Saccharomyces cerevisiae S288C: one gene and its partners. The gene in region 1 interacts genetically with each later gene. Each region holds a gene or a part of one and is shown on either strand. Other genes may lie near its edges.

Region 1 (3,837 bases):
TGGAAGTAGTAGTGCTCTTCCGCTTCGCCCTCAGCTGCGTCCTCATTTTCGGGATTCCGTTTGTTAAGCACGTCAACAATATCACCAATGGCATTGGCCACATTGATTACGTTCCCAGCACAGGACAGGATCCTGTCAGAGCAACCGGGCACCTTTTCAGAAATACCGATCTTGACGGCGTTTGCAGCTCTTATGCGTGAGATGGTGGAGCCCTTAGTGCCAATGATCTTGGCAGCCTCTTTCAATGACAGCAAAAGCCTGTGATTGATGGTGGGTTGAGCGGTGGTGCCAACAACGGGGGCGCCGCCAGTGGCGGCGCTGCCGGCATCACTGGAGCCGCCGTTGGTATTGTTTGTGGGAATTGCAACGGGAGTAGCAGCTTCGAAGAACTGTGACATGGCTGGTATATATACTAATGCTGTCTCTAAGTTACCCGATAAGTTGATGCTTTGTTGTACAGGGGACGCGCGATAGGAGTGGGGAGCAATATGCTTTTACTTCGTATGCCAAGTAGTTATATATGCTCGGGTACTTATGCTCCAGATTATAGTCTTGTTTGTTGTTTGGCTGAGCGGCCGGACACACAGAAAAAAAACAAAAGGGCTTTCGTTAAAAGGGATAGGGTAATGTCTAGACTTAGCATAGGGCTAAAACAGAAATAGTAGGGTCTATACCGTTTTTGAAAACAAGTTGTGTAGGGTGAGACTTTTTCTTTTTCCTTTGAGTTTTTCTTTTTCTTTTTACGATTTGTCAGAAATTAGTCGGACGCTCTTGTGGGGTGAGCGCCAGCGCCGCTATAGTATATATAAAGAAGTTGCTGTGCTGGCGTGGACAATAATTGAGTCATTACAAAAAGTGGCGTACATAAAACTACAACAAACCTACAGGATGACCATAGATAACTACGACAACAGTAAACAGGATAGCAGCAAATACGAGGTTAGTGGTACGGGTGATGGCAGGAACGGCGATGGCGGCTTGCCTCTAGTACAATGTGTCGCAAGAGCTCGTATCCCAACCACACAGGGTCCGGATATCTTTTTACATCTTTACAGTAACAACAGGGACAACAAGGAACATCTAGCCATTGTGTTTGGTGAAGACATACGGTCGCGCTCGCTATTCCGTAGAAGACAGTGCGAGACGCAACAAGATAGAATGATCAGGGGCGCTTATATTGGCAAACTGTATCCCGGCAGAACTGTGGCAGACGAAGACGATAGACTCGGATTAGCTCTGGAGTTTGATGATAGTACAGGTGAGTTATTAGCTTCCAAAGCCACTACATGGGACGCCCATAACGACACGCTGGTACGGATCCATTCTGAATGTTACACCGGTGAAAACGCATGGAGCGCCCGTTGTGATTGTGGTGAACAATTCGATAGGGCCGGTAGGCTTATCGCTTGCGACCACGAACCCACAAGCAACATCAAAGGTGGAAACGGCCATGGTGTTATCGTGTATCTAAGACAAGAGGGTCGTGGCATCGGGTTAGGTGAGAAACTCAAGGCCTACAACCTGCAAGACTTAGGTGCTGACACAGTGCAGGCCAACTTAATGCTGAAACATCCCGTGGATGCTAGGGACTTCTCGCTGGGTAAGGCTATTTTGCTGGATCTTGGCATCGGTAATGTCAGGCTGCTGACAAATAACCCGGAAAAGATAAAACAGGTAGATCATGCGCCTTACCTTAAGTGCGTTGAACGAGTGCCTATGGTACCCATACACTGGACAAACTCCAGTGAAGGCATAGACTCCAAGGAGATAGAAGGTTATCTCAGGACCAAGATAGAAAGAATGGGTCATTTACTAACGGAGCCTCTGAAACTTCATACAAACCCTCAACCTACTGAGACAAGTGAAGCCCAAAACCAAAACCGTATGAACTCTGCGTTGTCATCAACATCGACGCTGGCAATATAAACACAAGTGTAGCATAATTATTAGTACATATAGTGCTTTTTTTGTAATGAAACGAAAATACCATGTTATTTTAATGCGTTACCCCGTCGGCGCGTATTGGCGCATTAACATCTTTATAGAAAATCAAATTATTTACTTATTTATTCTAAAACGCTAAACATCTATTTATTTACATTTGAGGTTGAAACTTCCCTTCATCCGATTGACAGGCATATTTAGCGGTAATTATTAGGGTTTTTGGAGAGACCTTGTATTCTTCAGAAATAATGTCGTCCTTCAACAATGAGACCAATAATAACAGCAACACTAATACACATCCAGACGATTCCTTCCCTTTGTATACCGTATTCAAGGACGAGTCTGTACCCATCGAGGAAAAAATGGCACTGCTTACACGGTTCAAAGGACATGTAAAAAAGGAACTAGTTAACGAATCGTCGATCCAAGCTTATTTCGCTGCGTTACTGTTCATCTCCGGCCATTACGCTTACCGTTCGTACCCGCGGTTAATCTTCCTATCACATTCCTCGCTTTGTTACCTTATCAAACGTGTGGCCATGCAGTCTCCAGTACAATTCAATGACACTCTAGTTGAGCAATTACTAAACCACTTAATTTTCGAGTTGCCTAATGAGAAGAAATTTTGGCTGGCTTCCATTAAAGCCATTGAAGCCATTTATTTGGTTAATCCATCGAAGATCCAAGCTATTCTAGCAAATTTCTTGCGAAGACCAAGTGAAAACCAAAACGGAGATTACCTGAATAGGATAAAATCTACATTATTGACCATCGATGAGTTGATCCAGATCAACGAGAAAAATAATTCAAATCATTTGCAACTACTGAGGTTTTTCATGCTGTCTTTCACCAACCTTTTAAATAACAACCTAAATGAACACGCAAACGATGATAACAATAATGTAATAATAGAGCTTATTTTCGATATAATGTACAAGTATTTGAAAATGGATGACGAAAATTCACAGGATCTGATAGATGGATTTATTAACGATTTAGAAGTTGAGAAATTCAAGCAAAAATTCATAAGTTTAGCAAAGTCACAGGACCAGCATGGTTCACAAGAAGATAAATCGACCTTGTTTGACGAAGAGTACGAGTTTCAATTACTATTAGCCGAAGCGAAATTGCCGCAGTTATCAAACAACTTGAGCAGTAAAGACCCAGCGATGAAAAAAAACTATGAGTCTTTGAACCAATTACAACAAGACTTGGAGAATTTGTTGGCACCGTTCCAAAGTGTAAAGGAAACAGAACAAAATTGGAAGCTAAGGCAATCAAATATAATTGAATTAGACAACATTATATCCGGCAACATTCCCAAAGATAATCCAGAGGAATTTGTCACTGTAATAAAGGAGGTGCAGTTGATTGAGTTGATTTCAAGAGCTACCTCGTCGTTGAGGACAACGTTATCATTAACTGCATTACTTTTCCTCAAGAGGCTAATCCATATCCTAAACGATCAGTTGCCCCTATCAATATTGGACCAAATATTTGTCATTTTCAAGAACTTGTTATCATCTACCAAGAAAATCTCTTCACAAACTGCATTTCATTGTTTAATTACTTTGATCATTGATATAAATCATTTCCATAATAAACTATTCCAATTATCTTTTTTATTAATAAATGAGAAAACCGTAACACCGAGATTTTGCTCTGCAATACTGCTGCGTAGCTTCCTGATTAAGTTCAACGACTCCAATCTTTCGCTCAACAATTCAAATACAACTTCGCCAACCTCAAAGTTGGAGAATAACATCATATACATCGAAGAATGGCTAAAAAAGGGCATTTCAGATTCACAGACAACCGTTAGAGAGGCAATGAGGTTAACTTTTTGGTATTTCTACAAATGTTATCCTACAAATGCCAAAAGATTATTGAGTT
Region 2 (3,600 bases), on another chromosome or scaffold:
GGATGAACCTAGATCTGCTGTGATAGCTGTAGAATTAGGGTTATTTGGGGCGCCAAATAAATCTGTATCAATGCCATTTACCGCAGTTTCTATATCAGAGAGAATACGGCAGTAATCCTCTAACTTCTTCTCGTAGAGATGAATTTTCTTTTGAAAGAATTTGTCTAAGTCATTAGAAGAAATTTTGCTTCCCGGAGTTAATAGTTGCTGTAAGAGCACCGAAAAAGTTTGCGTGTCTAGAAGGTCCTCATCGATTAGCGATTTAAATGAGGATATTTTCTTCAAATCTTGCTTTAAATATTGACTTGTTGCAGATTCTGACTTCAGTAGGTATGCAACATCACGAGGAATGGAATCTATCAATTCATCATGATCGATTGTATCGGCCTTCAAATGGTGCGAGATCTGCACTTGTTTTTGAATATATTGATCTAGTTGTTCAATTTCTTGACGTATTTGAGGTGGTAATTCGGAAATCCGTGTCATTGGGGTAATAGGGAGCTGAGATAGATTTTGCAATGCGCACTGCATTTGTGGTTGTTGCTGCAGTTGCTGCTGCTGATTACCAAATAGCCCGCCTGACGCACTCATGATGTTGTTACTATTATTGTTATTGTTGTTGTTATTTGATGAACCAAACAAAGACGTTGCTCCTGTCGGTTTGGAGCCAAATAACCCTCCACCAGTGGTCGTATTACCTGCATTATTGCCGAATAGAGATGTACCAGCTGGTTTTGCACCAAACATGCCCTGGTTCTGCGCAGGGGCCGAAGAGGTGCTTGTATTACCGAACAAAGAAGTGCCTCCTGCAGGTTTAGAGCCAAATAGTCCAGCGCTTGCATTATTCATGCCACTACTACTATTATTGATATTATTAGTGTTATTATTACCAAACAAACCACGACTCGTCTGTGCATTGTTGGAACCAAACAAACTGCCAGAATTACTGTTCGAATTAGCGCCAAATAACCCGCCCCCAGTGTTCGCCGTATTGTTAGGTTTGTTACCGAAAAGGCCCCCTCCGGTGGTGGCGCTTCCTCCAAATGCATTTGTCTGAGATTGTTGTTGCTGCTGACCAAATGATGCACCTAATCCTCCTGTAGATCCGGCTGGTTTAGCGCCAAATAGTCCACCTGTACTTGGGCCGGTGTTTTGTCCAGTTTGAGTCCCACCAAACGAAAACCCAGTATTCGCGTTTCCAGTGCTAGCTCCGCTGGCCTGACCAAAGAGCCCACCTGCAGGTGTCGAAGATGCTTTATTTAATCCAAACATTGTGCCCACTACCCGTGAAAACCCTCTCAATTACTGTTTTTATCGTCTCATCACCTGATCAGTAACTATTCTCACGATTAATGGTCTTTTTCAACTACATTTATTTGAGAAAGCTGTAATACATTCCGTGTTGAGTGATATATACAACCTCCTTTGCTCGTCTTTTCGCCACCGCAGAGCAAGTAACAACAGAGACAAACAAGAAGAGGTTAGAAAGCAATTTAAGGAGTAGTTTAACGAGTACTGAAAACGTCAAACTAAGTACTTACGACTTCCAATTACCGGTTGTAAAGTTTATCTACGCAAATATAACAGTTGCAGCTTGCTTTTTTTTTCAGCAGCTCTTCCGTTATTATAAAATCTGTTTGGCGTTCGCACAAGCGAACCGATTCTTTTATTATTTTCTCTCTGCCTTTTATTTCCGTTCCTGTTAATAGTTTATTTTCTAAAGGATACTGTCTTCTTCCGTACTTATAATCGGGTTCACAATAAGCAATTGACTAATCCTAGGACGATTCGTGTACTATAAGGAGAAAAAAAATCAACACTTGTAACAACAGCAGCAACAAATATATATCAGTACGGTATGGGTATTCCAAAATTTTTCAGGTACATCTCAGAAAGATGGCCCATGATTTTACAGCTTATTGAGGGAACACAGATTCCTGAGTTTGATAACTTATACCTGGATATGAATTCGATTTTACATAATTGTACGCATGGTAACGACGATGATGTAACCAAGCGATTAACTGAAGAAGAGGTTTTTGCAAAAATCTGTACGTATATCGATCACCTTTTTCAAACAATCAAGCCCAAGAAGATTTTCTACATGGCTATTGATGGTGTGGCCCCTCGTGCCAAGATGAATCAACAAAGAGCTCGTAGATTCAGAACCGCTATGGATGCAGAAAAAGCCTTGAAGAAGGCTATTGAGAATGGTGACGAGATTCCTAAGGGTGAGCCATTTGATTCGAATTCTATTACTCCAGGTACGGAGTTTATGGCCAAATTGACCAAAAACTTACAATATTTTATTCACGACAAGATTTCTAACGATTCCAAATGGAGGGAAGTGCAAATCATATTTTCTGGCCATGAAGTTCCAGGTGAAGGTGAACACAAGATCATGAACTTTATAAGGCATTTAAAATCCCAAAAGGATTTCAACCAGAATACGAGACATTGTATTTACGGTCTTGACGCAGATTTGATTATGCTGGGTTTGTCTACTCATGGGCCACATTTTGCGTTATTGAGAGAAGAAGTGACATTTGGTAGAAGAAATAGTGAAAAAAAATCGCTTGAACATCAAAATTTCTACTTATTACATCTTTCTTTATTAAGAGAATACATGGAGTTGGAATTCAAAGAAATTGCCGATGAAATGCAATTTGAATACAATTTTGAACGTATTTTGGATGATTTTATTCTTGTCATGTTCGTCATTGGTAATGATTTCTTGCCCAATTTGCCAGATTTGCACCTTAACAAAGGAGCATTTCCCGTTTTGTTACAAACGTTCAAAGAAGCTCTTTTACATACTGATGGCTACATTAATGAACATGGTAAAATAAATTTAAAGAGATTAGGTGTCTGGTTAAATTATCTGTCTCAATTTGAGTTATTAAATTTCGAAAAGGATGATATAGACGTTGAGTGGTTCAACAAGCAATTAGAGAATATTTCTTTGGAGGGTGAAAGGAAAAGACAGAGGGTTGGTAAAAAATTACTGGTAAAACAACAGAAGAAATTAATTGGAAGTATAAAACCATGGTTGATGGAGCAATTACAGGAAAAATTATCGCCTGATTTACCAGATGAAGAAATTCCAACTTTAGAGTTACCTAAGGACTTAGACATGAAAGATCATTTAGAATTTTTAAAAGAATTCGCTTTTGATTTGGGTCTTTTTATAACGCATTCCAAATCCAAAGGTAGTTATTCGCTAAAAATGGATCTTGATTCTATTAATCCTGATGAAACAGAAGAAGAATTTCAAAATCGTGTTAATTCTATCAGGAAAACAATAAAAAAATATCAAAATGCTATCATCGTGGAGGACAAAGAAGAATTGGAAACTGAAAAAACGATTTATAATGAAAGGTTTGAACGTTGGAAGCATGAGTATTATCACGACAAGTTAAAATTTACGACAGACAGTGAAGAAAAAGTGAGAGATCTTGCTAAAGACTACGTTGAAGGTTTACAATGGGTTCTATATTATTATTATAGAGGATGTCCATCTTGGTCGTGGTACTATCCGCACCATTATGCACCAAGAATCTCCGACTTAGCCAAGGGTTTAGATCAAGACATTGAATTTGA
Region 3 (3,837 bases), on another chromosome or scaffold:
GCCTCGGCTGGCACCTGAGCGATATCTTCATCGGAACTAGCAGTGACAGAAACGGCCGCTAAAATAAAAGTGAGAAAGGTAGAAATGAATTTCATTTTCTCCAATATGTGAATTTACTGGAATTTGATGCAGGTGATGGTAGTAATTATCCATTATATAGAATATAAAAACAGATATAGGAAGGACACCTCAAACTACACCAGAATCAAGGACAGCTTTTATACATATAAGCCCTCGTCTCTGCGCTGTAAAGACACCAAGTTTCACTAGGTCCACGGCGACTCTGTACTGAAACAACTGAATATTTGAAACAGTAACGATGAATAGTTTGGCTCGATACCTTGAAAACAATCACTACAGGCGTCGCCCAGATGCGCACATCGTTGCTGGCATTGATGTACCAATGAAGAAATATAAGTGACAAACTTTATGAAAAGATAGAAAGAGGTTTACAAGATAAGAGAAAAATTATGCTGTGAAGATTAGTAATCGAAGTAACTGCTTATTCATTCAGTGCATGTTTTTCTAGGAATGCGTTTGATATGGGACATACATCTTACTATGCGACATTACCTTTTAGGGACATCAATGAGCAAGTGAACACTAGCAAATTAGGAAAACAACTTTAGCACGCCCAACTGCGTACTGAAACGCAGAAAACTATAGAGTTTCCCGAAACGGTGACAGCTGAGTTCGCTCAAATAAGAACAACACCATGTCTTGAAGCTTCTTCTATAGCGTAGAGTAAGTAGTGCCTTGTAGCCCTACCGTTTTACAATGCATGAGGTTACCCGCACTTATTATTTTTTTCTCTTTTTTTTTCTTAGCTATAAAAGGCAGATCAATGCAGCATTCATTGCTTTATTTGACTTTCCTTTACTATTTATTTACTTTCCATTTCTTATTTTAGTGTTATTTTATAACAGTAACGCAAATTTAACAGCCATTCGTAACACGTACAGTATCTCGTCGAGGTTGAACCCCTCCGGGGCGTTCTTGACCCATGAAGAATGTGGATTGGTGTTGCAATATATTTATTATTGGCTTGGACTGGAGAACAAATTTATCGATCTTGGGTGCAACAGTCTTTCTGTCGTCTGTTTTTTAGCAGATCTAAGGGTTTACCTTCGTGTGCCCGGATGAGGACCGTTGCAAGGATTGATAATACAACTATATACATCATTATCGTAGTGAATTGCACGAGTAACTTCTCGGCATGGGGTGAGTAAATTCATATTATGAAAGTAATTAAACTTACTACCTAAATAAGAGGATATCTATGTCTTATTGCTTGTATATATGAGTGGCTTGGAATGCTGCAAATACTGTTTAGGAAAAAGTAGATAACTAAAAGGTTTCTCCTTCCTTCGGTTGACGCAATTTCTTGTTCGCTGGGGTTGCCATTTCCTTTCTAAGATCAAGTAATAAAGTTTCCATGGTGTAGGCTCTTTTCCAGTCACGTAAGGTGTGGAAGTCAGTTTGGACCTCCCCCGTAGTTGGATTGACGCATGGTAGATTTATCTTGGAAATGAAAGTGACCTTTGGGGGAGAATCTGGATAGTTTGGGCCACAATCTATAGAAAGGGAATAGATTCTGTTTTCATGATTACTATGAGGGGGCCCTAAAATAGTGCCGTTCCATTTGGTCATGGTAATATCGTCGCTATCAGCTAAACCATAACTACATGATTCTGGACCAAACCCTTTTTCACCCTTTTCTAATTCTTCTAACAACCTAAAATTTCTTGGTCTGATTTACAATAGGACAGTGAGGGTACATTTCAAGAATTTGTTAGTATATGTTGAAATCCCTTTCAAAACTTATAATAACATACACTTTTGACATTTTTGTGTAAACGCTGCTTTCTTCTACGTTGCATATACAGAATAAGAATTTCACCACGACATCGAAATGTAATGAGCAGAGATTGTGTAGGAAGTTGATCTTATTTTAGTCTCTTATTTATCGCTAAAGGAGCAATGAAAATTGATAGCGTGTTACCCTAGGAATAATTCCTAACAATTTTTTCCATCTTAAAATCGAGAGGTAATAGTAAATAATGGATGTGAGAGCGGCATTGCAATGTTTCTTCAGTGCATTGAGTGGACGATTCACTGGAAAAAAATTGGGACTAGAGATCTATTCTATCCAGTACAAAATGAGCAATAGTGGTGGGTCCTCTCCTTTCTTGGAAAGCCCTGGAGGTTCGCCCGACGTAGGCAGTACAAATGGACAAAGTAATCGTCAGATTCAGGCGTTACAATTCAAGCTCAATACTCTACAAAATGAGTATGAGATTGAAAAATTGCAGCTACAAAAACAGACGAATATCTTAGAAAAGAAATATAAGGCCACGATTGACGAATTAGAGAAAGCATTGAATGATACAAAATATCTTTATGAAAGCAATGATAAATTGGAGCAAGAGTTAAAGAGTTTGAAAGAAAGATCAGCTAATTCGATGAATGATAAAGACAAATGCATAGAGGAATTGCGAACAACCCTCCAAAACAAAGATTTAGAAATGGAGACTTTAAGGCAGCAGTATGATTCGAAGTTATCAAAGGTCACTAACCAATGTGACCATTTCAAGTTGGAAGCAGAGAGCTCTCATTCGCTACTGATGAAATATGAGAAAGAAATAAAGAGGCAAAGTGTGGATATCAAAGATTTGCAGCATCAAGTGATGGAAAAGGATGATGAATTATCTTCGGTAAAAGCATCTAAGATGATAAACTCACATCCAAACTACTCCACCGAAGAGTTCAACGAGCTCACTGAAATGAACAAAATGATCCAAGACCAAGTTCAGTATACTAAAGAATTGGAACTAGCGAACATGCAACAAGCCAATGAATTGAAAAAACTTAAACAATCCCAGGACACTTCTACTTTTTGGAAATTAGAAAATGAAAAACTACAAAACAAATTAAGTCAATTACACGTACTCGAAAGTCAATATGAAAATCTTCAATTGGAAAACATAGATCTAAAATCGAAATTAACCAAATGGGAAATTTATAATGATAGTGACGATGATGATGATAACAATGTTAACAACAATGATAATAATAATAATAATAAAAATGATAATAATAATGATAATAATAATGATACAAGTAATAACAACAATATTAATAATAACAACAGAACCAAAAATAACATAAGAAATAACCCTGAAGAGATTATCCGGGACTGGAAACTTACCAAAAAGGAATGTTTAATTTTGACAGATATGAATGATAAGTTAAGATTGGACAATAACAATTTAAAGCTACTGAATGATGAAATGGCTTTAGAGAGAAACCAAATACTAGATTTGAACAAGAATTATGAAAACAACATAGTAAATTTGAAAAGATTAAATCACGAGTTAGAACAACAGAAGAGTTTATCTTTCGAAGAATGTCGATTACTGCGCGAACAATTAGATGGCCTATATTCCGCACAAAATAATGCTTTACTAGAGGTCGAAAATAGTGAAACACATGCGTCAAACAAGAACGTAAACGAAGATATGAATAATTTGATCGATACTTATAAAAATAAGACAGAAGATTTAACAAACGAACTAAAGAAGCTAAACGATCAGTTATTATCAAATTCCAATGATGTAGAAACACAAAGAAAAAAGAGGAAGTTGACAAGTGACCAAATTGGTTTAAATTATTCACAGAGGCTCAACGAATTGCAACTGGAAAATGTAAGTGTCTCGAGGGAGTTGAGTAAAGCACAAACTACAATTCAGCTACTACAAGAAAAATTAGAAAAGTTAACTAAACTAAAGGAGAAAAAAATACGTATACTGCAATTACGTGACGGCCCCTTCATAAAAG

What was found.
Region 2: mutations in STU1 (region 1) and XRN1 are lethal when combined (synthetic lethality), as found in Saccharomyces cerevisiae (4 studies listed by BioGRID, with this or other methods).
Region 3: mutations in STU1 (region 1) and MAD1 together harm fitness more than expected from each alone (negative genetic interaction), as found in Saccharomyces cerevisiae (5 studies listed by BioGRID, with this or other methods).

Annotation. Positions count from the first base shown.
Region 1 is NC_001134.8:156,745-160,581, reverse strand, and holds the start of STU1 (Stu1p), read left to right. Parts: upstream 1-2,192; coding exon 2,193-3,837. Other genes in the region: HEK2 (Hek2p), read right to left, coding at 1-398; RIB1 (GTP cyclohydrolase II), read left to right, coding at 889-1,926.
Region 2 is NC_001139.9:178,372-181,971, reverse strand, and holds the start of XRN1 (chromatin-binding exonuclease XRN1), read left to right. Parts: upstream 1-1,858; coding exon 1,859-3,600. Other genes in the region: FG-nucleoporin NUP49, read right to left, coding at 1-1,272. UniProt on the Saccharomyces cerevisiae protein: Multifunctional protein that exhibits several independent functions at different levels of the cellular processes. 5'-3' exonuclease component of the nonsense-mediated mRNA decay (NMD) which is a highly conserved mRNA degradation pathway, an RNA surveillance system whose role is to identify and rid cells of mRNA with premature termination codons and thus prevents accumulation of potentially harmful truncated proteins.
Region 3 is NC_001139.9:345,059-348,895, forward strand, and holds the start of MAD1 (coiled-coil domain-containing protein MAD1), read left to right. Parts: upstream 1-2,060; coding exon 2,061-3,837. Other genes in the region: MF(ALPHA)2 (Mf(Alpha)2p), read right to left, coding at 1-95; YGL088W (uncharacterized protein), read left to right, coding at 778-1,143; E2 ubiquitin-conjugating protein MMS2, read right to left, coding at 1,348-1,750, 1,836-1,846. UniProt on the Saccharomyces cerevisiae protein: Central component of the spindle assembly checkpoint. Thought to recruit MAD2 to unattached kinetochores. During checkpoint activity, MAD2 is relayed from the MAD1-MAD2 complex to the mitotic checkpoint complex (MCC).